Oryctolagus cuniculus: one gene and its partners. The protein of the gene in region 1 interacts with the protein of each later gene in a biochemical or structural test. Links are inferred from orthologs where the notes say so. Each region holds a gene or a part of one and is shown in the gene's direction. Other genes may lie near its edges.

Evidence for each region.
Region 2: the proteins of STX3 (region 1) and SNAP23 form a complex in vitro, tested with the Homo sapiens proteins (3 studies listed by BioGRID). The link is inferred for Oryctolagus cuniculus from reciprocal best matches to the Homo sapiens genes STX3 and SNAP23.
Region 3: the proteins of STX3 (region 1) and SNAP25 form a complex in vitro, tested with the Homo sapiens proteins (2 studies listed by BioGRID). The link is inferred for Oryctolagus cuniculus from reciprocal best matches to the Homo sapiens genes STX3 and SNAP25.

Annotation. Positions count from the first base shown.
Region 1 is NC_091432.1:12,701,795-12,709,784, reverse strand, and holds the start of STX3 (syntaxin-3), read left to right. Parts: upstream 1-3,932; 5' UTR 3,933-4,140; coding exon 4,141-4,170; intron 4,171-7,990. UniProt on the Homo sapiens protein: Potentially involved in docking of synaptic vesicles at presynaptic active zones. Apical receptor involved in membrane fusion of apical vesicles.
Region 2 is NC_091443.1:65,543,190-65,551,263, forward strand, and holds the start of SNAP23 (synaptosomal-associated protein 23), read left to right. Parts: upstream 1-3,334; coding exon 3,335-3,391; intron 3,392-3,910; coding exon 3,911-3,952; intron 3,953-4,723; coding exon 4,724-4,772; intron 4,773-5,468; coding exon 5,469-5,586; intron 5,587-8,074. UniProt on the Homo sapiens protein: Essential component of the high affinity receptor for the general membrane fusion machinery and an important regulator of transport vesicle docking and fusion.
Region 3 is NC_091442.1:35,146,703-35,154,929, forward strand, and holds the start of SNAP25 (synaptosomal-associated protein 25), read left to right. Parts: upstream 1-3,942; 5' UTR 3,943-4,100; intron 4,101-4,358; exon of another isoform or gene 4,359-4,681; intron 4,682-8,227.

The DNA of each region.
Region 1 (7,990 bases):
GAATTGGCACCCATATGGGATGCTGGTGCTTCAGGCCAGGGTTTTAACCCACTGCACCATAGCACCAGCCCCTAGATAGCTTTTTTTGAAAAAAGATTTATTTATTTGAAAAGCAGAAAAGGTTGGGGGGGGGGAGAGGGAGAGAGAGAGGGAGGGAGGGAGAGATCGATCTTACATCCACTGGTTAACTCGCCAAATAGCCACAACATCCCAGGAACTCCATCTTCTACATGGATGGCAGTGGCCCAAGCACATGGGCCAGCCTCCTCTGCCTTCCCAGGTGCATTAGCAAGAAGGTGCAATGGAAGTGGAGAGGCTGGGGCTTGAAGTGGAGCTCAAATATGGAATGATGGCATTGCAAATGACAGCATAACCTGCCAGGTCGCTAGATGGCTTTTTTAGTACAAAACATTTAAATCCATACTTATTCAATTGCATTGCATCTGCTCCATTATGATTAGCCTGTTACTCTTGACATTTCTACAAGGGAGCTATAGGAAACATCACATCTTCTGTGTCTCAAGAATCACAACAGACTTCTATATAAGCAGCTTCCCCACTGAGAGCTGCCATTGTCCCTACCAGCCTCTTCACAGTAGTGGCTCTGCATGCTGATGGCTCCAGAGGTTACTCTCAAGCCAGGGCGAAAGTTGTGTAAACAACTAGGCACAAAACATAGGATGTGCTTTAGAAAGAGATATGACCAAGTACTATTGGAGGAGGTGCAGAGAAATTAACTGGAGACCACCTGAGTGAATATGAATATGAATCTTGAAGGAGGTGTAGAAATTTCCCAGACACGACGTGGAGAAAGCACCAACCAGGTGGACAGAGGTGAGAGATCACAAAAGGGTGAGTGAGGTTTGGGGAAGGGGTGGTTTCATGAGGTTGGTGGAGGAGCTTTGTGAATCAGGTAGTGATGGTAGGTGAGAGGGGGGCAAAATTGGGCAAGGCCTTGAATGTTATTTTTTATAGAAAGCTTTTATTTAATAAATATAAATTTCATAGGTAAAACTTTTGGATTATAGTGGTTCTTCCCCCAAACCCTCCCACCCCCAAACCGTCCCACCTCCTACTCTCTCTCCTATCCCATTCTTCATTAAGATTCATTTTTAATTATCTTTCTATACAGAATGTCAACTCTATACTAAGTAAAGATTTCAAGAGTTTGCACCCACATAGACACAGAAAATTTAAAGTACTGTTTGAAGACAAGTTTTACTATTAATTCTCGTAGTACAACTCATTAAGGATGGAGGTCCTACATGGGGAGCAAGTGTACAGTGACTCCTGTTATTGATTTAACAATTGACACTTTTATTTATGACGTTAGTGATCATCTGAGGCTCTTGTAATGTGCTGCCAAGGCTATGAAAGCCTCTTGAGTCCACAACTCTGACATTATTTAGACAGGGCCATAATTGAAGTGGAAGTTCTCTTCTCCCTTTAGAGAAAGGTACACCCTTCTTTGATGGCCCCTTTGAATGTTATTCTAAGAAGGGTCTGGATTCCGTTTGTGAAGAGAAGCCATTGATGGGTTTTAATCAGAATAAAGATGCATTGAGCCATAATACCAGAAAATGCATTAATAAAGTTAGTAAGCATGTGCTGAGAGCCTAGTAGTTTTTGGCCCTATGCTTTGGTGAGGAGTGGCAAAGCTACTGCCCCCACAGAGCTTACAGAAGGTACAGGAACCAGACATGGTCATGTGATTATGTGACGTGGTAAGGTATGAAGGAGAAGTCTAGGGTATCACAGAAGCACATTCAAGGAGCACTTAACTCACTCCTGGAGGGTACGGGGTGGGGAACCTATTTTTATTTAAAAATTATTTTATTTATTTGAAAGAGAGAGAGAGAGTGAGAGAGAGAGGTCTTCCATCTGCTGGTTCACTCTCCAATTGGCCGCAACGGCCGGAGCTGCCCCAATCTGAGGCCAGGAGCCAGGAGCTTCTTCTAGGTCTCCCAAGTGGGTGCAGGGGCCCAAGGACCTGGGCCATCCTCTACTGCTTTCCCAGGCTGTAACACAGAGCTGGATTGAAAGAGGAGCATCCTGGACTAGAACTGGTGCCCATATGGGATGCTGGAGCATCAGGCCAGGGCTTTAACCCACTGGGCCACAGCGTCGGCCCGGTGGGAACCTATTTTCCACCAAGGGCTATTTGGATATTTATAACAGCACTGGTGGCCCATACAAAACTATCAACTTAACAATTAGCCCGTTACAGATTTATCAAATTTCGAGTCCTACCTCTTGTTGCTTTGGCAGGGCCAGACTACATAATCTCACAGGCCTTATATGGCCCAGACGTTCCCCACTCTAGCATGTGGGTTATCTGGTTTTAGGGTGGTCTATGCCTTTTTTATGATTTTGTTGTTGTTTTCCAAAACTGTAAGTTGTAGAAAATTAATATTGATGCAAATGATTCTTGTCTAGAGAGGTGTGAATGAATTTTGTCCCATGGAAGTGCAATTGCTCTCCCACCACAAGAGTTTTGCATTTCTTAGCATATTCTTTCCAGTATTCAGCATTTCTGTTACCTGTAGCACCCTCTCCTGCTGTTTGGATTCTTCTCTGGATAGCTTTAGCTTCCTACCAGTTTCTTCATTAATTGAGGAATTAAATAAGACCTCTGATTCACATTCACTTTATATTTGTATGAGAATCATGATTTTAACCTTTGAAAATAGCGAATTTTTGACATGTGTTCAGAGTATGAACCGTCACTTGTTGGTTCCTAGAATTGAAAAGACTCCTGATTGCTATGGTCCTTTTAGACCTTCAAAGGTAAAGAGATGTTCTCAGCCCTGTTTCCCTCAGGGCGGGCAAGTACCTATCCTCACCATCAAAGATTGTGGAGGTGAACAGATCCAATAGTATTTCCGATGAACTCAGTTTTTCCATTTATGACCTGCAGGGGGCGCTGCTACAGACGCGCCACTCAGCCCGGCGCGCAGGACGTCAGAGGGGATTAGCATGCAGAAAAGCAGGGCCAGGTCCAGAAGCCAGGCCTCGGCTCTGCCGACCGTATCCTTATGGCAGCCGAAGTCAGCACGCGGCAGGGCCGCAGAAGAAGGCAAAGTCCTGTGCGAACCGCAAAACTACTCACAGCCGGTCAACCGGAGGCTGTGAAGAGCAAATTCTCCGGAGAAGTCTCTCTCGGCCCGTTACTGCGCTCCACCCCGCTGGGATCTGCACACCACAGAGGGAATGAAGGATTCGGCTTTCCAAGGCAAACACTTTTTACCTTAAACCCCGTTCCGTGGGTTACGAGTCAATCACTCCTCTCACGTAGGTTTCACAGCAAACTCCCAAGCAGGTGCTACCTCCTGAGAAAGTGCGTTTTCCCAAAGTTGCACAAAACACCTCGACAAGGACAGGCCTCTCTCTCTCTATCTCTCTCTATCTCTCTATCTCTCTCTCTCTCTACCTCCCTCCCTTCCTCCTCCCTCCCTCCTTCCCTCCAGGGTCCCGATGGCCAAAAACATCAAAGTCCTCATTCCGGCCCGCCCCCTCCCACTGCCAGCACGACCCCCTTTAGGTTCGGCCTTGCGTGCGCAGATCCGGTCTCCCGGAGCGACCTTATTCCTCCCCCTTCCCCACGCACACCTGATGCGTTTGTTTCGGGGTGTGGGGGAGAACTGTCTCCCCGCCTGGCCGTGAGTCTGCCAAGGGCACCGACGGCGAATCCCAGTAGGAAAGGTGGCCTGAGGCCGAAACGACGTCTCCGCTCGTCCTCGAGCAGACGGAGGGATCTGCCAGCGCCAGTTCCTCTACTCCTCCGACCCTTCGGGTGCCCTGGAGTTCGGGGAGGTGGAGCGAGCGCGGTCAGACGCGGGCCCTTTAAGGAGGAGCGCGGGGCGCGGCCCAGGTAAGGGGCGGGCCGGCTGCGGATGAGCGCTGCGCGCCGGCGCCCGCCCGGGAGGCGGATTTGGAGCGCGCGGCCGCCGCGGGGGCTGGAGGGGCGGTGCGGCGGAGCCTCAGTGGTGTGGGACGCACCTGCTCGCGAGCGGCCGCCGCCCGCCTCCGCCTGCGCTCCTAGCTCCCTCGCCCGGGCCCGGCCGGCCGCCACTTCCGGGCGCTCACCTGGGGCGCGCTCACCTGGGACGCGCTCCCAGCCGCGGGCACCCAGGCGGCAGGATGAAGGACCGGCTGGAGCAGCTGAAGGCCGTGAGTCCAGCCGCTCCCGGGGCCCCGGCGGGCGGGGCGGGACTGCCGGGAGCCGCCGGGAGGTGCAATGCCGGGGACAGGGGCTTCTCCTTTTCTGCCCAAATCGAGGCTGCGCGCAAGGGTTGTCCTTTAAGCCCCGCGGCATCCCGCGAGGGTGCCGCACCCTCCCCTCCCTGCGGGGTCATGTGCCCATGATTCACCGCCGGGCCGTGACTTCCCTGACCGCCTCCAGCGCTCCCATCTCCTCCCCCCACCTCCCAAGCAGAACCCGGGTTCAGGGGTGTGCGTGCGCCCTTATGCCCAGCGGGGCTTACGGGTGCTCAAGGGGTCACCTAACCACCTGCTGCCTGCTGCTGCCGGGCGCTCAGTCCAGAATCGGCCTCCTCCACCCCTCTTCCTGTTTCCCTTCTGGACTGCGTGGGGTCCAGCGCCCCCCTCTCCCCCAGGAGCAGCTGAGTTCCCAGGTGACCTCTCCAGCTGTGAGCTGGTCACGAGGTGGGGCCATTCGGTGGTCTGTTATCAAGTCCCAGCCTTGCCTTGAGATGGGAGTGGTCAGGGCAAAAGGACAGGAAGGTGGGCCGCCTCCAGCCCTGTGGCACAGAAGCGGGAACACCTTAAGCTACTTACTTTGTGGGGCCTGTGTCTGGTTATCTGTCAAGTGAGAATGATTATACCCGCTTGAGAGGTTTGTTCCAAGGATGACGTGACATAATGAGACATGATATAGACAAGTGTAAAAAGCCCGGGTTTTTGAGCCAGATATTTATTGACAGAGACAGTAAATAGTTATTGAGTGCCTTCCATGAGGCAGACCCAGTGCTAAGCCTCAGCGATCCTGGTAACACAGGCTGTACCGTAACAGAAGGTAGAATCTGGCCCTTGCCACTCACGATGTGGTCTTTCTACTCGGGAGCTTGTCAGAAGTGTAGCAAGTTAGCCCTCTTTCCCCACCCGCCGCATGTAGAACCATGGACTCAGACACCAGAACCAGCTTACTGGCTCTCCCTTACACTCCAACTCTGTTTTGTCGTCTGTAACATGGTAGTTGTGAGAACTTAAAAGTAGGAAAGCATGTAAAAGAATCCTTTGGTGCACAGCATGTAAAACTAAGTAAATGGCAAATTTTATGCTAATAGCTAAATGCTCTTTGGAAATTCTTGTTGGGGACCATTGGGATGAGGCTGTGATTCTTAGGTGATTCTTTTGTGGCTCTTCCACCTGCTCTGGGTTGTAGGGCTGCAGAGTGGCAAAGGAGCTCAGGATATGAAAGAAGCAAAGGGACAGTTGCTTATCGTGGGAGGGAACCCTCTTGCCCCACACTTGCTCTTTGTCACTGGAGCCTGGCATCATACTGGTGACCCAAAGGGCAGAATTTATTGCCCCTGTTTTATAGACAGAGATCCTGGAGCTTGCCCTGGGTAGGACGGTTGTCCCATCACAAACTGGTCAGGGCACAGCCCTCAGAGGAAGGCAAGCTCCTGACCTCTCCTCCGTGTCCTTTCCCTTCTGTTACACCGCTGGGGGAGGCAGGAAAAAAAAAAGAAGAGCATGATTTCGAAGATCTTCCTGTGTGAGCACACCCAGCAAGCACAAAAAAACTGAACCGCAGACAGAGGCTGCTTTCTTCCTTTAGTTAGGAAATGTGTTTCCAACGGAGGATACTCCAGAGCCCCTTTCAATAACCCATTGTCAACAAAGAGCAACAGTGCCTTAACTGAGCCTTCGATTCCAAGAATAAATTCAACCCGCCGAGGCACCCAAGCAAGTCCTTTCTCTCATGGCTACCGTCTGTAAAACAAAGCTAATGATACGCTTCCTCTCTTTACCTCTTGGGGACGCGGGGAAAGTGAAGACTATAGACGGTGCTGTTATTATGGGTGCATTGTTCTGGAATCACAGAGTGGTTACTGTAGCGTTTTGGAGAAGCGTGGGGGTGCAGGGTAAGGAGGACAGGGTTGCGAGTTCAAAGGCTTCTTTCTAATTGTGGTATTGCCACTTAGTAGCTGTGTTCCTTTATGCCCTCCTCTTTTGCAAAACCAGGGGTTAGGTTGATCTCAGAACCCCTTTCTGACATTGTTACTGGTTTCTATGAAGACCTTTAAGAGTTAGGTGGGTTTTTGGTGTTGATTCTACCTCCCGTACCCCTTCCCTCGCTGAAAATCCCATCCCTGCAACAAGATGTGCCATGCTCTCTCGCTGATTCCTGTTATCAGCCGATTGAGCGTGTTTGTTAACCTGCAGTAAACAGTTCTGGCGGAACAGCCTGTGCTGTCTGTTTCTCTAGAGGTCTTTTTAAACCCTGGGGGAGGGGAGGTGATGATGGATAGCTGGAGGGCCGTCTTGTGGGTGAGATTGGCTTTGCCCTGTGTAGATGTTAGAAGATGTGGGGATGACGGTGGCAATTGGGAGTCTGTAAGGAAGCACTTCTGGTTGTTGGAGCTGCCCAGGGATGGGTTAGTGTGGTTGGGGAGGCAGTGAGCCCTCCAGCACGGGAGGGAGGCTGGCAGACAGCTTGCTGAGGTGTTGAAGGCTCTAGGAATTGAGGCACCTCTCTGAGGGAGGGAAGGTGAGCTGGCTGATTTAGGGCCTCCTTCAGTCTTGAGTCTGTCTGGTTCTGTGAGATGCTTTATTTGTGAGCCTGTCCTAAGGCTTTGCAGTCCATGAAGACTGAGGCCTCAGAGTTGCACCTGTGAATTGGGTCATCATCCTTTTCCCATAGCGTCCTTGTGAGGATGAAACAAGGCAGTCCGTGAGACTCACCCACCACAGACAATGAGAGTTCTCCAAACTGCTTCGAGCAGTGTTCTCACTGAGAGGCATACCTTTCTGATCCCAAGACCTGACTCACCTTCTCCCTGGACTGTTCCCTTCACCCTCCCCTGCCACGTTCAGGGTGCTCTCCTGTTCCTCAGTGACATAGGAAAGATTTGCCCGGGAATGTGCGGCGCCTCCTTGCAGCCCATCTCAGAAGGTGGTTCTTACAGATGTCTCAGCAGCTGAACTTTGACTCTGCTGAGTCTGGATGACTTCTGGACCGGGGTCTTTTTTTTCTCTGGCTTTCTTTGCATTCTGCAAACATTTACCGAGAACCTACTGGGTGTCAGTTCCTGCTGTAGGTGCTGGGGTGTGGTGATTAACCCATCTTCCTGGCTGTCAGGAAGTTCACAATCAGGGAGACATACAAGAAATGAACATGGTGATACCATCTCTGTGATCTCAATGACCACAGGAACACCCTCTGGGAGATGGGCAGGGAGTGGGGGATTCCTAGAACAAGTAGTACCTGAACTCAGGTCTCATTTTAATTGAGTTTCTTTGGATGCATGTAGAATTTCTTAAGAAAGGCAAGCAAGATCCTAGTGTTAGAGAATAAATAGTCCTAGAAGGGGAACAAATTTGTTTCATGAGAACAGCAATTAAAAAAATCAAAGGTAGGTGACAGTGATGTGTGGAATAGAGGTCAAGGACTTTGATCCCCTGAAGACTGATCTACAGTAGACGAGAACTGACTTGGAGATAGTGGTCCCTCCAAGGCCAGTTAAAATAGCACACTAACAAAACCAACCAGCAAGCTCCAAGGGGCAGCTTTTTCCTCTCTCTGTTCTATTTTGTGTCATGTTGCTTCCTAAAGACCTGTCCTTGACCTCCTACCCTGCGGAAGTTCTGGGATCTCTGTGGGATGGGAGTCCCTCAGATGGCACTGTACTATAATCCCATCAGAAATAGGTAGCTGTGCTTCCCCCCTTTAAAGCTTAAATCATTCAAAAAACACTGATTGAGCCTCTACCGTGTGCCAGGTGCTTTGGATCATAACTAAATC
Region 2 (8,074 bases), on another chromosome or scaffold:
CTTTAAAAAAAAAAAAAAAGAAAAGCATATTGTTGGGGAAGGGCAGGTTTTGGAGAGGTATCTCAGTTAGGGGTGTTGGGAGTTGTAGAGAAGCATGACTCCCCATGTATGCAGGTGGGGTTATACAGAAAGGAAAGGGGTACAAATATCTGGACATGAAAAGTTGCAGAAAGTAACTTATTTTTTTCATAGTTGTAACTTTGAAAGATTGACGAGAGGAATTATAGTATGTTCAAATTATGATAAAGTTAAAGGCTCCTAAACAATTAACAAATCAATAAAGCACTTAGTTCTGTTTATGCATGTATCTGATGAATGACAGTTGTCAATTCAAGAATGGCCTTTATTTCTTGATTATATATTTTAGTATATGAAGCTTTTGCCTGAACTACAGATCTGAAAGTAAATTTGGAATTTTTTTCATGAGCATTAATAACTTTAGTCAAGGTATAATTCATTAATCTTAAAATTGTTAACTAAGACAGTCAAATTATAAGTAGCTCTAATTGCAGTACCTTCCTGTACCAGGAACGTGTACCTCACTTGAGATGATTCTACTAAAAGTGAGAAGATCTATAAGTGACCAGCACACTGTTGCGGATCATACACATGCAATGGCAGTTTTGAGTTTGTGATTCTAGTAGATATTTCCAGATGTGGTGCTGTTGTTACATGTAGCTTTGTTTCTAGGAGCCACTTAAATTGGTAGTACACCCTCTTTTTCCACCTACTTGTTCGTTCAACGGACACTTTTGGAGTGCCTACTGTCAGATCTTGTTAGGTGTTAAAAATAAAAAGATGAAGGGTTGGCATTGTGTTATAGCAGGTTAAGCCGCTGCCGGCAATGTTGGCATCCCGTATGAGTGCTGGTTTACGTCCTGGCTGTTCCACTTCTGGTCTTGCTCTCTGCTAATGGGTGTGGCAAAGCAGCAGCAGATGACCCAAGTGTTTGGGCTGCTGCCATCCACGTGGGAGACCCGAATGAAGCTCCTTTCTCCTGGCTTTGGCCCGGCCCAGCCCTGGCCGTTGCAGCCATTTGGGGAGTGAACCAGCAGATGGAAGACCTCTCTCTTTCTCTCCCTCTCTCTCTATAGCTCTGGCTTTCAAATAGATAGATAGATAGATAGATAGATAGATAGATAGATAGATAGATAGATGCATCTTAAGAAAAAAAGGATCAAGAAATTCAAAGATGAAACTGCTGCCTTCCAAGTTCAGTCTAATACATGCCCAGGTAATTAGATTGCCTGCTTATCACTGAGTATGCTTCATAGCAGGGTTTTTTTATCATAACACTTTGAAATTTTAGGCCAGACCATTTGTTGGAGGGCTTTCCCAAGGAATTTCATAGGATGTTTAGCAACTTCCCTGGTCTACCCACTGGATACTGCTTAGGGCTCCCGCATCCCATACTGGAGTCTCAGCGTTGCTCCCTACTCCCAGATTCCTACTAATGTGTATCCCAGGAGGCAGTAAGTGATAGCTCCAATAGTTGGTTCTCTGCCACCCACACAGGAGACCTGGATTGGGTTCCTAGTTCCCAGCTTTGTCCTGGTCCAGTCCCAGCCTTTGTGGGCATTTGGAGAGGGAACCAGCAGGAGGAGGTCTCTCTCTTCCTCACTCCTTAACTTCCCCGCTCCCTATCAAATAAAGAAATAATTTTAAATGTCTCTATATATTTATTGCCAAATTCTAGAGAACAAATCTACAATGTGAACCAGACTTTATCTGTATCATTGACAAAAGGGCTTTGATAAATCAGTTTTCAAGATCTCTCTCTGTCACTCTTTAAAAAAGACAAAAATAAATAATAAACATTCTGAAAAAAAAAAAAGTATAGGAGCTGGCACTGTGGTGTAGCGGGTAAAGCCACAGCCTGCAGCGCCGGCATCCCATATAGGGGCCAGTTCAAGTCCTGGCTGCTCTACTTCCAATCTAACTCCCTGCTAATGCATGTGGGAAATCAGCATAAGATGGCCCAAGTCCTTGGGCCCCTACACCCACATGGGAGACCTGAAAGAAGCTCCAGGCTCCTGGCTTTGTATCCGCCCAGCTTCAGCTGTTATGGCTGTTTGGGGAGTGAACCAGCAGATGCAAGAACTCTCTCTCTCTCTCTGCCTCTGTCTCTCTGTGACTCTATCTTTCAAATAAATGAATAGATTTTTTTTAAAAAAAATGTAATGCAAATCTAATCTGTGTATTGGGAAGAAAAGCTAGATCTGTTGCATAGTGTTTATTTATGTGACTTCTCAAAGGAGAATACACAAGAATGATACTGGATCGCACCTACTAGATATTGTGTATTTTAGCTTCAGTGTCTGTAAGGCCTCTCTTTCAAAGGTGGGATATAGAAAGGCTAGTTCTTCAGTTTCTTAGGATGTTACTAACACTATGAACAATACAAGCAGGTGGAGGAGAAGAGTGCTTTAATGAAAACTTGAGCTCTTTTCTGAACTCTGTACCAGCATTACCCTTTTCTTGTTTAGAATAAAAGTATTTCACTTTCTCTAATGTGTAACCTGGACAACTGGCATATTTCTAAAATGTTTCCTGTGTTTATTAGGCACATGACTTTTAATTTGTTATTTTCCTTAACTAGACTCTATTACCTTACTGCTTTTCCAGAAGAACGTTGTACAACCAAGAATTAATTTCAGTAGTCTCTTAAAGTGCTTGTCTTGCAGCAGTGCCTTTCTTCTTAAAGTAGGGTGACCACCTTCCCGTTTTAAAGAGCACTTCAGGGCCGGTGTTGTGGCGTAGCAGGTAAAGCTGCCCCTGACACGCTGGAATCCATATAGGCATCCATTCAAGTCTCAGTTGCCCCACTTCCCATCCAGCTCCTTGCTAAAGTGCCTGGGAAATCATGGAAGGATGCCCCATGTTCTTGGGCTCCTGCACCAATGTGGGAGACCTGGAAGAAGCTCCTGGCTCCTGGCTTTGGATTGGCCCAATCCCAGCCATTGTGGCCATTTGGGGAGTAAACCAGCAGATGGAAGATCTCTGTCTCTCCCCCTCTCACTCTGTAACTCTTTCAAATAAAATAAATAAATCTAAAAAAAAAAAACAAAAAAAAAAAACAAAAAAACACACACTTCAGTAGAAGTCCTAAAACCTGTTTTATGTGCATCTTTGGTACTAACTAGCATTAAATATCCAATTAGTCTTTTTCAGCTATCTGTGGGATAGATAAATAAAAGTGGGTTTTATCTTGTCTTCATAAGAAATACCTAAATTCCATAAGTCTACCCTCTTTGTTTTGCTCAAAGCTTTGTTTCCTTGTTCTTGTAGGATACCCACATTTCCATTTCTTTGCCTGATAAAGTTTTGATTCATCATGGATAATCTGACATCAGAAGAAATTCAGCTGAGGGCTCACCAGGTTACTGATGAGGTAAATGCTTTATTGAGAATAAGTAATCCTGTTGCAGTTTTCACGGCGCAGGGTCTTCCTAGTCCCTTTGTGTCAAAGAATGAATTTGCCCCTCAGTGGCATTCATTGCTCATTGCTTTTCATCAACTCACCAGAAACACTAAGTAAGGGAAGATAATTCGCATGGTTTTTCCAGATAGTCATTGCTTAACAGTTACTCACAACAAAGATACTCTAAATTTGAAGAATTCTGGATTTTTTATTTATTTCCTACTATCTGTGTAATATTCTTAGAGTTCTGTCTTCATCAAATTTTTATGAACCCCTTTAAGTGTACCATCCTAATTTTCTTTTAAGAAGGACTTGATAAGAATAACTGAAAATACAGTGACCAGTTTTCTTGATTTTGTTTTAAAGGGAGGGATGGGCTAGTGATTTTTAAACAGAATAACGTTCTGAATATAGTCTGTGTTTTTTTTTTTTTTTTTTTTTGGCTACATATTTTGAAATGTTTAAACTAAAACTGTATTTTTTTCCTAGTCTCTGGAAAGTACAAGGAGAATCCTGGGTTTAGCCATTGAGGTAAGAAAGTGTTTAATCATCAAGTTAAATACAGAAGTTTATAGGAGGGATCCTGATAGCACTAGCTGGAGTTGCTGCTAAAGCACATTCTATCAATATACTTTATTATTTGAAACCTGCAATTACTGAAATTGTCAAACCATGTGCTAACTGGCCTTTTCTGCTTTTCCCTTTGTGATGGTATTGGAATATGCTTGGAAAGATGAATTAATTTTAAGTTTTTGACTTAATTATTTTTGGATATTATGTTGAAGTGTGTTGATTTAAGAATGCTAGTTCTGGCCGGCACCGCGGCTCAGTAGGCTAATCCTCCGCCTTGCGGCGCTGGCACAGCGGGTTCTAGTCCCGGTCAAGGCGCCGGATTCTGTCCTGGTTGCCCCTCTTCCAGGCCAGCTCTCTGCTGTGGCCTGGGAGTGCAGTGGAGGGTGGCCCAAGTGCTTGGGCCCTGCACCCCATGGGAGACCAGGAGAAGCACCTGGCTCCTGCCTTTGGATCAGCGCGGTGCGCCGGCCGTGGCGGCCATTGGAGGGTGAACCAATGGCAAAAGGAAGACCTTTCTCTCTGTCTCTCTCTCTCTCTCACTGTCCACTCTGCCTGTCAAAAAAAAAAGAATGCTAGTTCTATCTGTAGCTTCGATCCTCTGAGGATGAATTTCCAAATGATTCTAGTCTTGCTATTTGTCAGCCCTTTTAAGGTCTTATTTCTGTTGGTTTAGGGTATTTAATTAATTAATTTATTTTTTACTATTGGTATTTTCCCTCTTTGTTTTAGTCTCAGGATGCAGGAATCAAGACCATCACTATGCTGGATGAACAAGGGGGTGAGTTAAAGTTACTGACAGAAATTCTTAAATTGATTTACAATGCCAAAATGTTCTATCAAATCAGCCCTGTATAGATTTTCCTTTGGGAATGCCTTAACTTTGTAAGATGAGTGATGTGTTTACTTCTGATTTGAATGACATCATGTTTATTGCCTGGTTAGCACAGGGGGCAGTGACCAACTATATACCAAGTATGTGTTAGGCCAGCATGGCTTATTGTGTGCATCAGGCCTCTATGCATTCTTACTTCACCCTAGAAATCAAAGTTAAGTCCTAAAACCGATTTAGATTCAGATTAACTTGGGAACATTTGATTTGAGTTGGCCTTGAGAAATCTCATCTGTTTTTGATTAGTCTTGTGGTCACCTCAAGTTTCAAGCATAATAAGTGATAGGAATGCTGGGGATCTGATGTGGTCAGAGTACACTTGCTTGCATTGGGAGGGTGCTAAATCTTCACATGCTCCTGGTGTACAGATTTCTTTAGAATAGATCCTTCCACAATTATAAGCCATTGTCAGTATGGGTGTAAGAGTGTCTTCATGTTGAACATTTTGTAATATCTTCTGACACTGATAGATTTATTCTTTGTGGTATAGTATTGGTAGATTTGAAGTTGAAGTTTGCTATTCCACTATGGCGTTTTCTTGTTGATACTGTAACAGAAAATGTACCTTCAACACTTTATTCTTAGAACAACTAAACCGCATAGAAGAAGGCATGGACCAGATAAATAAAGACATGAGAGAGGCAGAGAAGACCTTAACAGAACTCAACAAGTGCTGTGGCCTTTGTGTCTGCCCATGTAATAGGTGAGTGGATAAATCAAGTTTTTTTCAAAATCAGTAAATGAGAGCATCTCCTCCCAAGTAAGGTTAGAAGTATGACTGGACCTAGATGAGGATGTTTGTTAGGTAAACTTAAAATATTTCTTCTTTTGGCAGATTGAGTGCTTCATGCGAATAGCTATGTTCATTGAAAACCATGGCTTACTTTTGGCCAATACTGGGAGCGATTTCCAATTTTAATTTGTAGTAAAATACAAAAATTTTGGAAAATACGTATTTGAACGATACAGAGCTGGATGGGGTTAGTGTCTTTCGTTTCAAACAAGGGAAGTTAATAAAACTCGAGTATGTGTTCTGTGATAGGCTCCTGAGAGATGGCTAAAGGAATAAAGGACTTGGGCCTTGTTTTCAAAAGACTGCTATGTTGTTGGGCGTATGAAGAAAAAACAGAAAATATGTAAATCTAGTGTTAGCTCATATGATATCAATTAAGTATAGGGGGAAAGGTGATAAAGGTTGGGCTGGAGAACATCTTACAGAAGAGGTGGCAGATGAGTTAGGCTTTCAGTGATTAGCAGGAATTTGGATGAACCTGAGAAATAGGGAGGGCATTTTGCTATGTAAGATTCAAAGGAAACAAGGATTAAGGAAGCTGCCAAGCTGAGGAATTGATAGGTTAGAGTGGAGTATATGATTATATAACCAGGAGACTAGTTAAAAACTTACTGTATTCTAGGCCAGTGAGGTTGGACTTTATTAGTGAGGATAGAGAAGGTGCTTGTACAAATCAAGAGAATTTATTTTAAATCAATTGATTGATTATTTTAAATCAATATCTGTAATAAGAAGAAATGCTGAAGACTTGGAGACTAGTACATTGGCACATGAAAGGTCTTCAAAGCACTATGTATGATGAGATTTTGCATGACCCAGAAGAATTCATTCTTTTGGTGCCTCCATTGTGAATATTTAAATTCTCTACTTATCCTTGGGTAAACCAGACTCTGTGACGTTGACAAATACAGCATCTATTCAGACTAACAGGAGGTCTGATTCTAAGACAGTTTACCATGGTCTTTCTCTTCTGTTAGAAGGAGTGCATCTTTGTTGTTTAAAAAAGTAATAAATAAAATAACTTTGAACTTTACTTTTAGTTGAAATGACAATGTCTAGGGATTGAATGACTATGCTTACTGCTGAAAGTATTCATTTCTAAAGATCTTTGTAAACATTAGTACTTCCATTCATTTGTCTCAGTTGATCTGTTAGTCCAAGAGTGGCATAAAAAGGTTTACTGACTCTTAGCATTTTGATTCTTCAGAGGACTTAGGAATGGAGGAGTTTTTGTCCTATTTTCAAATGAATGTTTTCATGTAACTACATGTTCTGTGCCATTTCTGCTAGAGAAAATAGAGTTAAGTTGCCTGTTGATCAACTTTAGTGTTTGTTTTGGCCAGGCTTTCAGATTCGATGGTGTTCTGCCAGTCTTGTCTGTTGGCTTCCTGTTCTAATGTAAAACTATTGACTTGTTTTAACCTTGGTTGACTCGCTGAAAGTCCACATTTTAATAACTGACTTCTCAGGGTATCGCAGGTTCTTTAGGCAACTAAGTCATAAATGTGCAGATTATTGGATTCCAACTCTTAGCTATATTTTGCAAGCTTGTTCCTTTACCCTTTGTTCTGTGTAGTCACTTGGAAGAGTGAAGAAAAAAGAATGTATGTTGCTCCCCCTCTTCTTGGAGGAACGACACAGGACCCTGCGCTGTTCTTTTGTCTGCTCGGCCCTTCCCGGGTTTGCTGCTGGTTCTTCCCGGGTTGGCTGCTGTCCCTTCCACCTCCGTGGAAGGGCGGTTCCCCCTGCCACTTTCCCCACTTCCGTGGGGGAGCGGCACACCGCCGGCCAGCTCTCTCGGGGGCTGCTCAGATGTTATTCGGATGTTCCCCTTAGATGTTCCTGGTGCATGTTGTTTCTCTCCTCCTTTATAGTCCTCTTCCACCAATCCCAACTCTGCTACCCACACGCCGAGCACGCTGCTCTCCTCCAATCAGGAGCAGGATCAGCTCCTGCAGGTTACTGGTCGAACTGGAGGCAGCTGTGTAAAAGTTGTTTACTCCTCTCCCAGTGCCATTTTGTGGGAGAGAGCAGATGCATAGAATAAGTCTTAATTCCAGTAACTTAGTCTAGTCTGAGTTGCTCCCCACAAATGTAGGTCAATTTCTTTGAGATAGGTGTTAGGAGAAAAACAAAGAGGAAGTCCTTCCTAGAATCCAAAGCAAGATCAGCTCGTAAGTCATGGGTTGTTAAATGGGAAGAGCTTTGAATCCTAAGATTATTGAAGTGAGAAATTGCTCTACAGAAGTTTTTTTTTTGTTTTTTTTTTGTTTTTTTTTTTTTTTTTTGACAGGCAGAGTTAGACAGAGAGAGACAGAGAGAAAAGAGAGAAAGGTCTTCCTTCTGTTGGTTCACCCTCTAGATGGCCACTATGGCCAGCGTGCTGCGCTGATCCGAA
Region 3 (8,227 bases), on another chromosome or scaffold:
CATAGCAAGCTAGGGGTCAATGAAGAAATCAAGCTTCTATAGTATAAGAGTTACACATTCTTACAGAAATAAAATTACCTCAAATGATGATGTATTATATTTAACCAATAATCATGGTGCTAGATGTGATTCTAAGTGTTTCAGAATATTATTGTGAGTAGGATATAATTACTGCTGTGTTTTACCTATGAGATGACGAAGGTACAGACGGGTTACAAACTGAATGGAATTCCTTAAAGGTTAACTAAAGAAATACCATGGTCTCTTTCAAATAGCCTTTTTAAATTTCACTATCATTTTCTCCTTCCCTCTATCCCTGTGGTCACAAAACTCTTCTTTCCTACCTGACCACTGGCAGGTATCAATATTGAGAGTGTCCCAGGATGCAGTCTTCTAAGACAAAAGTCCAATTATGATGTATAAAGGAACAGCATCTGGCAGCTAAACCCTCTTCTCCTTCCTTCCCACAATGCTGTTCTTAGCGGGGGAAAAAGTGTTTTTAAGATTCTGAGTGTGCAGCCTCATTTTTTCAACATGGCAACCCAGAAACAGTTAATATTCCTGATTCTCTTTCTATATCTTGGAAGCTATGTTCCTACCTCAGAGGCCACATCTAAACTCCCTACAGCCTGGGGAGTTTAGACCTAGAGCTTAATAAGTTCTACTAATTCACCATGGGGTAAATGGGGTGGGTCTGGGGTAAGGGTGGAAGAATATATCAAGAGAAAGAAGCAAATAAACAATTTGGAAAACAGACCAAGGAAGGCAGACAGTTGATGTGTCTAATGATATATTCCTGTGCCCAAGCCTCGTGCCCTCACAAAGTTTTCAAACATTGTCACAAGATTCTAGGCCTGTCCCTGCAGGCTTCTGAGTGAGGCTAGTTCTAAACAACTTCCAAGTTGACTTTATAAAAGTCATATGGTACTTTATAAAAACTCTTATTATTCATTATTAAATTATAATTATTGAGTCAACCATGAGTGTTGTGCCTTCCGTCAGAAATATAAGCTAAATATCTTGAACCTGGAGCTATTACAAACCAGAATACTTTAGGGCATGGTGTACCAGAAAATAAGCTTTCAGAGATTGAATTAGCACAGTGTAAATATCTATCCAACAGAGCAGGTAATTTTCTCATTGCTCATCAAATGAATTCCTAAGCGTTAGTTACCCAATATGCTGGTTCTTGTAGAAATAACCCACAAACAGCTGATTCATTTGGGAACAAAGTTTCCTTTATCTTCCTTAGTGTAGGGTTCAAGCCTTCCCTTCGTGAACCCTGACTGACATAAATCTGGTTCCCTACTGGCAAGGATGACTATGGATTTTATTTTTTATTCATCTGTTTATTTGTTTTTCTTTTGTTTTAATCAAAGAATGAGAAAACACTAGAGGAAACATCTCATTATCATATTCAAAATACATTAGGGCCATCTGGTCAACCTGACTAGACTTCTATCTGTCAGATTAGACTGTTAACCTTTTTTCCCCCAAAGCAAAATGAAGAACCTTTTAAGCAGCACTGTCTTCAAAGCAAGCACATGGCAATGGAAATGCTGTCAGCTAACCTTGTAAGCCCAGTGAATCAGTTTGACTCTCTCCTCTCATCTGCAGTTTTTAGAGATGTTGGTGTGAGGCATCAGCAGCTGAAAACCCCGGCTACAAAGCCAGTCCTCCCCTGTGGCTGCCACACAGCTTTTGCCTGCAGGATGAGCTTCCTCACTGACGTACTTACTTTTTTTTTTTTTTTTAATCTGGAAAATCCCCCGCCTCCTCCATTCTTTCACAAACTTTCTGCCTGAATGATTTCTCATCAGAGAGCCCTACATACATTTTGTTTCTCCCCACTGCGGGCCTTCTTGTTTATTTTTCTACAAACTTCTGCATGCTGCCCTTTTTTTTTTCCAAAACGTCACATTTTGGAAAAAATTTTGACTCTGAAGGATTTTTCAAGACCACTACATTCTCACTGCTTTCCCCACTCTATTCCAACTTGCTTTTTATAATGAAAATATGAACCATAATTGGGAGAGATTTATTGGCAAGTAAGTATCTGAGGACCACGCAGCTTTTTTTCTTTACAGGAACCTTGAATGTTTAATAAATATTTAAGTAAACAAATTTCAGCCACATGCTTTATTTTAGGAATCCAGCTTTAATAAAAATCCAAGCACTATTATTTTAGGAATCCAGCTTTAATAAAAATCCAGACGCTATTATTATTGCAAACATTAATATTTCAAAATACTCTGGATCAGGGAGTCTTTTAGAAACAATGACTTCCACTGATTTCAATTAAAGGCAACCTGCATTAAACTCTAGCAGCTCCTTCCCTCCTGAGCACAGTCCCTTTACAATGGGTCTTTCCTCCCCCATCACCACTTCCCGCAATCACATGCAATTAAAAGGCTTATTATTGCTGAAGCTTGGCCCTCAGCCAGCAAGGTGCGTGTGTGGGTGCGTGTGTGTGTGTCCGTACTTGTCTGTATATTGTTTTTCCGGAGCCAGTTCTAAATGGTTTTCTCTACGTCTGAAGGAGACAAGGATCTTCCATAGCCCAAAAGAGGCCATCAAGTTTTAACACTGCGAGGCACGACTTCTAATTGCATCCTCCCCAGAAAAGTACAAACAGTTCCTCAGACGAGGTCCCCCACCTCCTACGCGCCCAGCAGCCTGCCCTCCCCGCAGAGAGCCCCGCGACAGCCTCCCCAACACCTGTGAATCATCCGAGAGGCTCCAAGGCAGAGCTATTTGCACGCCACCCCCATCACCGCCACCACTGCCTCCCTGGGCGCCTCCTGCACGACAACAGGGTGGGGTGGGGGTAGCTAGGATTATTGCTTTTTTATTATTATTTCTAATTTCTCATATGACTTGCACAAGACACCTTCCTCACTCTTGCCCTGATTTGAACATCAGAGAGCCCCGAGCCAGCCTGTCGTGGTGCCCAGGCTTTGCTCACTGAGCGAAGCACCAGCGTTTTATCGCGTCCTAACCATGCTTGAACGCAAACCCGCCACCTTCTCCCTGGATGTCTGGACCGATCTAGGAGGCGCCTACGTGCCTGTGCGGACTTTTCCTAAAATACCCAACGCAAAACCCCAGGCTCAGACTGCAAATTCCGCTGAAAACAGCGTCATCAATGTTACCCTGGCCAACAGCTCTCAACTCCTAGCCTGGAGTCCTAGCAACCCCCTGCTGGTTTGGTTAACGACCCTTCCGGACTCAGCGGATACTCTCCGTGGTAATAGCTCTGACGTACTTTAAAATAAAGTGTGTGAGTCTCTCTTCCCAACTGACCACATGAATGCAAACTCCTAGCCCTCGTTGCAGCTCGGATAAAATGAAGAAATCACTCATAAAAAATAGCAACCCACGTAGCCTAGCCATATATGGAGCTGGGGAGGGTTGACAGGGATGTCCCTTCGGACCCTTTTCTGGTGGTTAGGGGCACAAACCGTAGCTGAAATTTCCCCCTCCCTCACCGTTCCCACCACCGCCTCTGCCTTCCTCTCTTCGCGTGTGACTCAATTCAGCTGGAGTAAATTATGTATATGTGATCTATAGATGTACGTATATTAACATTCATAGGCACACACAACAAAGGACATCAGGGAGCCAGTGGCAAGGTAAATGTGTTTGCCCAAGACCGGGTGTTAAAATGGAGTCCTAAAACCTCTCTGTTCGGGTGTTTATAGAACGCTAAAATGCAAAGATTTGTAGTGAAGCGCACACGGAGCTGAGTCAAGCTCTGGGCACCTCGAGACTCGTCCCCTCCCTTCACGCGCCTCCGCCCCCCTCGCTCCTCCCCGGCCACCACGCGCCCCCTCCCTCATTCGACCCTCCCTGCTCTCCATTCCCCCCACTCACCCCGCCCCTCGCCAGAATACTTCCTCCCCGCCCCTCCCGAGCCGGCTATTAAAAGCTGCTGACGTCAAAGGGACGGCCATCTTTGATGAGGGCAGAGCTCACGTTGCATTGAAGACGAAACCTCGCCGAGGTCAGGCGCTGTCTTTCCTTCCCTCCCTGCTTGGCGGCTCCTCCACGCTTGCAACCTGCAGGGGCCCCGGCGAACACCACCCTCTGGAGAAGCCAAGGTAAGGGGACCCTCCCCAGCTCGAGGTTCTGGCTCTAGATGTCTGTGTACCCCAAAGGGACCCCACAGCTGGGCAGAGCAAGTGAGCTTGGGCAAATGCAAGTGTTTGTACACTTAGGGTGCGGTATTCCGGGTATGCACGTCTGGCTAGACTCCCTTCTGGGGCTTTATAAAGTATTTTCGAGGTGAGCTGCTTGGGGAAGGGATGAATGGAGATAGTGCAGGTGGAGCGATGAGGAGGAAGAACAAGGATACATACCGAATAAGTTACTCCTCTGCAACAGTCGTGGGACTCTGTCTCTTCCATTTTGCGATGCAGTTTTCGGAGATGTTTAGCAGGCTAGGGGGTAGGGAGTAGGGGTTTGTTTTTCTTTCTGTGGACCAAAAAAAAAAAAAAAAAAAAAAAACGAATCAAAACAAAAAGCCATCATGTTGTTCTAATTCTCTTGGGAAGAATTAAGGAGGAGGCAAGGTGTGGGGCGCTGGGGAGGCCAAAGGAGAAAGAACGAGTTCTCGCCCCGGGCAAGCGGAGCTGTGGCAGCGGCAGCAGCCTCCATGCCCCGCGGACTTGATTTATGCCGCCTGCTCCACGTCAACTGCAGGCTGGCGGGAGGCGGGCGGGTCGTGCCGAGTGGGAGGGCTCTGCGGAGGGCTGGCGCGGTGGGCTCGCCCCGGGGACTGCGGCGGCCGGTGCTCAGCACCCTGGAGAGCAGTACCGGGGGCCCGTGCTGGCGCCGGCGACCTTTCAGCACCACAGACAGCAGTCCGGCCGCAGAGCGGCATCTACCTGCGGCAGACGCCTGGCGGGGACTGGATGTGCCAGGGTTGGAGGTCAAATCGTCTCTCTGAGACCCTGATCTTACAGGGACCATTAATAGAGCAGGCATAGTAGGTTCAAAGAGAAAAGGGAAGAAAAAATAAATCCTGTCCACAAAGACTTAAGACAATTGCCTGCTCTCCTGTTCACCTCCTGCATACCATCAAAAAAAAAAAAAAAAGTCTGCTGGTGGAAACCCTCTGTGTTGCCCTCTGCCCCTCTTCGGTAGGAAATAAACACTTTTAAAAATAATATGTGTTAAGTCTCTAGCAAGATATATACATTTTTGTTTGTTTTTGTTTTTAACAGAGTAAATCAATCTACAGATCTTGGGTGGGCATGAGTGGGGTATATATGAAGATGGCAAAACTGTTTATAGAAGTGATATCTTTCTAAATATTTATATTTTATGAACATTTAGGATTAACTGAATTAATAAGAATCAACATTACCACGAGCACACATTCACAAAAATACATCTTCGAGGACTATTACAGTCCTATAGTGTGTATTATTTAACATCTCTTGCTGTGAATTCAGAGTTAGTAGAAGTATTTCCTGTAGTTGTTGGTTATTAATGGTCAGTAGTTTCTTTTTTGTTTTGATAACATTAAGACTGGTCTACCACAGGACAATCCAACTGTGTCCTTCAGGACACGGCAGATGAGAGATCCAGGGTGTTAGAATGAAACCGGGTTCCAACCTAAAGATCTACTGCAATTTCTATTATAGCACTGCAGGATTTTGCTGAGGTGATGATAAATACTTTGGCCATTTTCTACTCTGAGGTTTGGAGCCTCTGAGTGAGCAAAAATCATCACAGCAATATTTCTCTTTGATTTAGACAGATCAAATTGTCATGAAATGGCTGGGATCAAAACTGTACTATTTAAGTAGCTGGCAAAAAGAATAACTGTCATATGTAAGAATATGTACAGCATATTAAAAAATGCTACCATGATCCCTTTAAAAGACTCAAAATAAGATCTTGGATTGTGTTTAATTAGGCATAACTCCAATCATCTGTATACTAAAGATTCTAAAACATCTTGTTCACATACAGAAGGTTTTTCCATCTCAAGCTATCTATTTATTACATAGTGTTTTTCCTTTTTATGGTTAACCATGCATTTATATATATGTGTGTGTGTGTATTGTATATAATATATATATATTTGTTCTGTATGGATGTAAAAATTATTTGGGTGGACATTTATTCATCAGTCTATACCTGCATGAAAGAAGTTTATAACTCTAAAATCTTCAGGCAAAATAAACAACTTGTTTCAGTTATGGGAGGAAGGGAGTTATGGACAGGAATCATTAAAAATGTTTTTATCTTCATGCTGCATATCCAGACAGCTCTCTGCGTAGTTGCGTCAAAAGAAAAGCCTAATGCAGCTGGAATTACGTGCTTGGACATTGGTAATTACTGCTGAGTTTGTTTGCTAGTGGAAGACTGGGGATAGGAGGAAGAGGTAGAGGACTGCAGTGAAGCTGCGAAGGGCACAGGACTGGGAGGGAGAAGCAAAATGCGGGATGATAGGGCTAATTCTGAACGAGCTTACTGACAAATTAAAGAAAAACATCACTGATTCATGAATTTAACATGTACATTGTTGACACACTTCATAAAAAGGAATCTAAGATGTGTTATTTTAAGAATTTTAAAAATCCAGGGCAGTGCAGTGAGAAGAGGTATGAGCAGATAGACAAAAGGATGAACCAGGTATCATTCATGCAGCCCCTCTGATGGTACCTGGAATTTTCTGTTACTATTTTGGCATTCAGATAACAAAACAACTTACAGTCTTCTGAGCTGTTCTATGGTAAAATCTCTGAAAAATGAAACCTTTTATTTTCACTCTGTTAGACATGCACAATCACACATATGCAAACACAACATAAACTGTCCCTTAGTTAGCTTGTCTAAAGATATTCCTGAGCTCTAAATGATAGCCCTCAGTGTCAGGGTTATCAACTGGAAGATTGATGTTTGTTCCAGTCCCACCTGGAAGCTGCGTAACAGCAGGCCTTCAGCAGAACCTGTAGGTCTTGAGCATTAAATGGGAGAAATAATTCAAGAAAGATATTGAGAGAGGAGACTAGAAAGAAGAAAAATAAATGAAACTGATTTTTAGATGATGCACTCTGAATAAACAATGTTTCTTGTGTTATGGAACTGTTTTGCAATTCTACCAAGCTAGGAAAATCCATGTTTTCAGCTTCAGCGCTGGATTTGTTTCTGCAATGTCATCCCTTGTCGGCAGCGACTAACCTGATAAGAAGATACCAATCAATCAGTCAACACCAGATACATAAATGAACTCCCATGGAGGGGATATCAGGCCTCATAGTTATATGGCCTTTGACCTCAATGAGTTTAACATCTAGCAACCTTTAAAAAAGTTTAAAGTCAGTAAACATTACTAGAACTAAAATGCAATAAAATGGTGGAAGAAAATATGTGAGGGGACATATTAGTAAATGTCCAGTGAATGTGACTAACACGAAGGAATGTAAATTCAGAGGACAGCAGTGTTGCAGATCTGATCTGAGAGAACAGGTCGAACTTGAGCTTCTTTTGAAGATTGGAGAGAGGCTGAAGAAGTCTGCTAAGTAGAAGTTACAGCATAAGCAGAACTGCAAGTTGGGCAAGTTCCATGCTATGGTCAGCAAACCCTGAAAGAGCCCATCCATCTGAGTGGAATCGTAAACTTGCATGTATAGTTTGGGGGGCAAAGGGGTTGCTATACCAGAATTGGAGCCTTCTGTGGAAGGCTTTAAATGCAAAACTGAGAATTTGGTACTTTATCTTCTAAAATTGATTTCTGAGCAGAAACTGATATAACAAAGTAGCCAGGTCTTCTTTAATATCCAGAAATTGCTGTTGACACAGTGGATTTAATTTATGTTCTTTCAGAAATTGAGAGGAGAAAAATAATGTTGTGAGAGATCACTAATTTAAAAAATATCACTCATCACTGAAGAATCTTTTAAGCTCACTCTTCAAGATGCACATACGCAGATGAACATGTAAGGCCTGCCCAGAGTTAATTGTAAGTTTCAACTTTCCACCACTAACTAGAACAAATTATTCAAGATGAGTACCTGAGATTGAAAACAGGTCAGGAATCTGGTGATGAGAAGTCACAGAAGGTATACTTACCTGATCAATGTGATGCAGAACACTCTCTTGTACTCTCTGAGTATTCTGCATTCTCAAATACACTGGTTGGATGAAAAAAGACATCAGATCTTCTGAGCATGTCTCAGGCAGCAAAACAATTGACTAAGAATGGGGGGGGTGA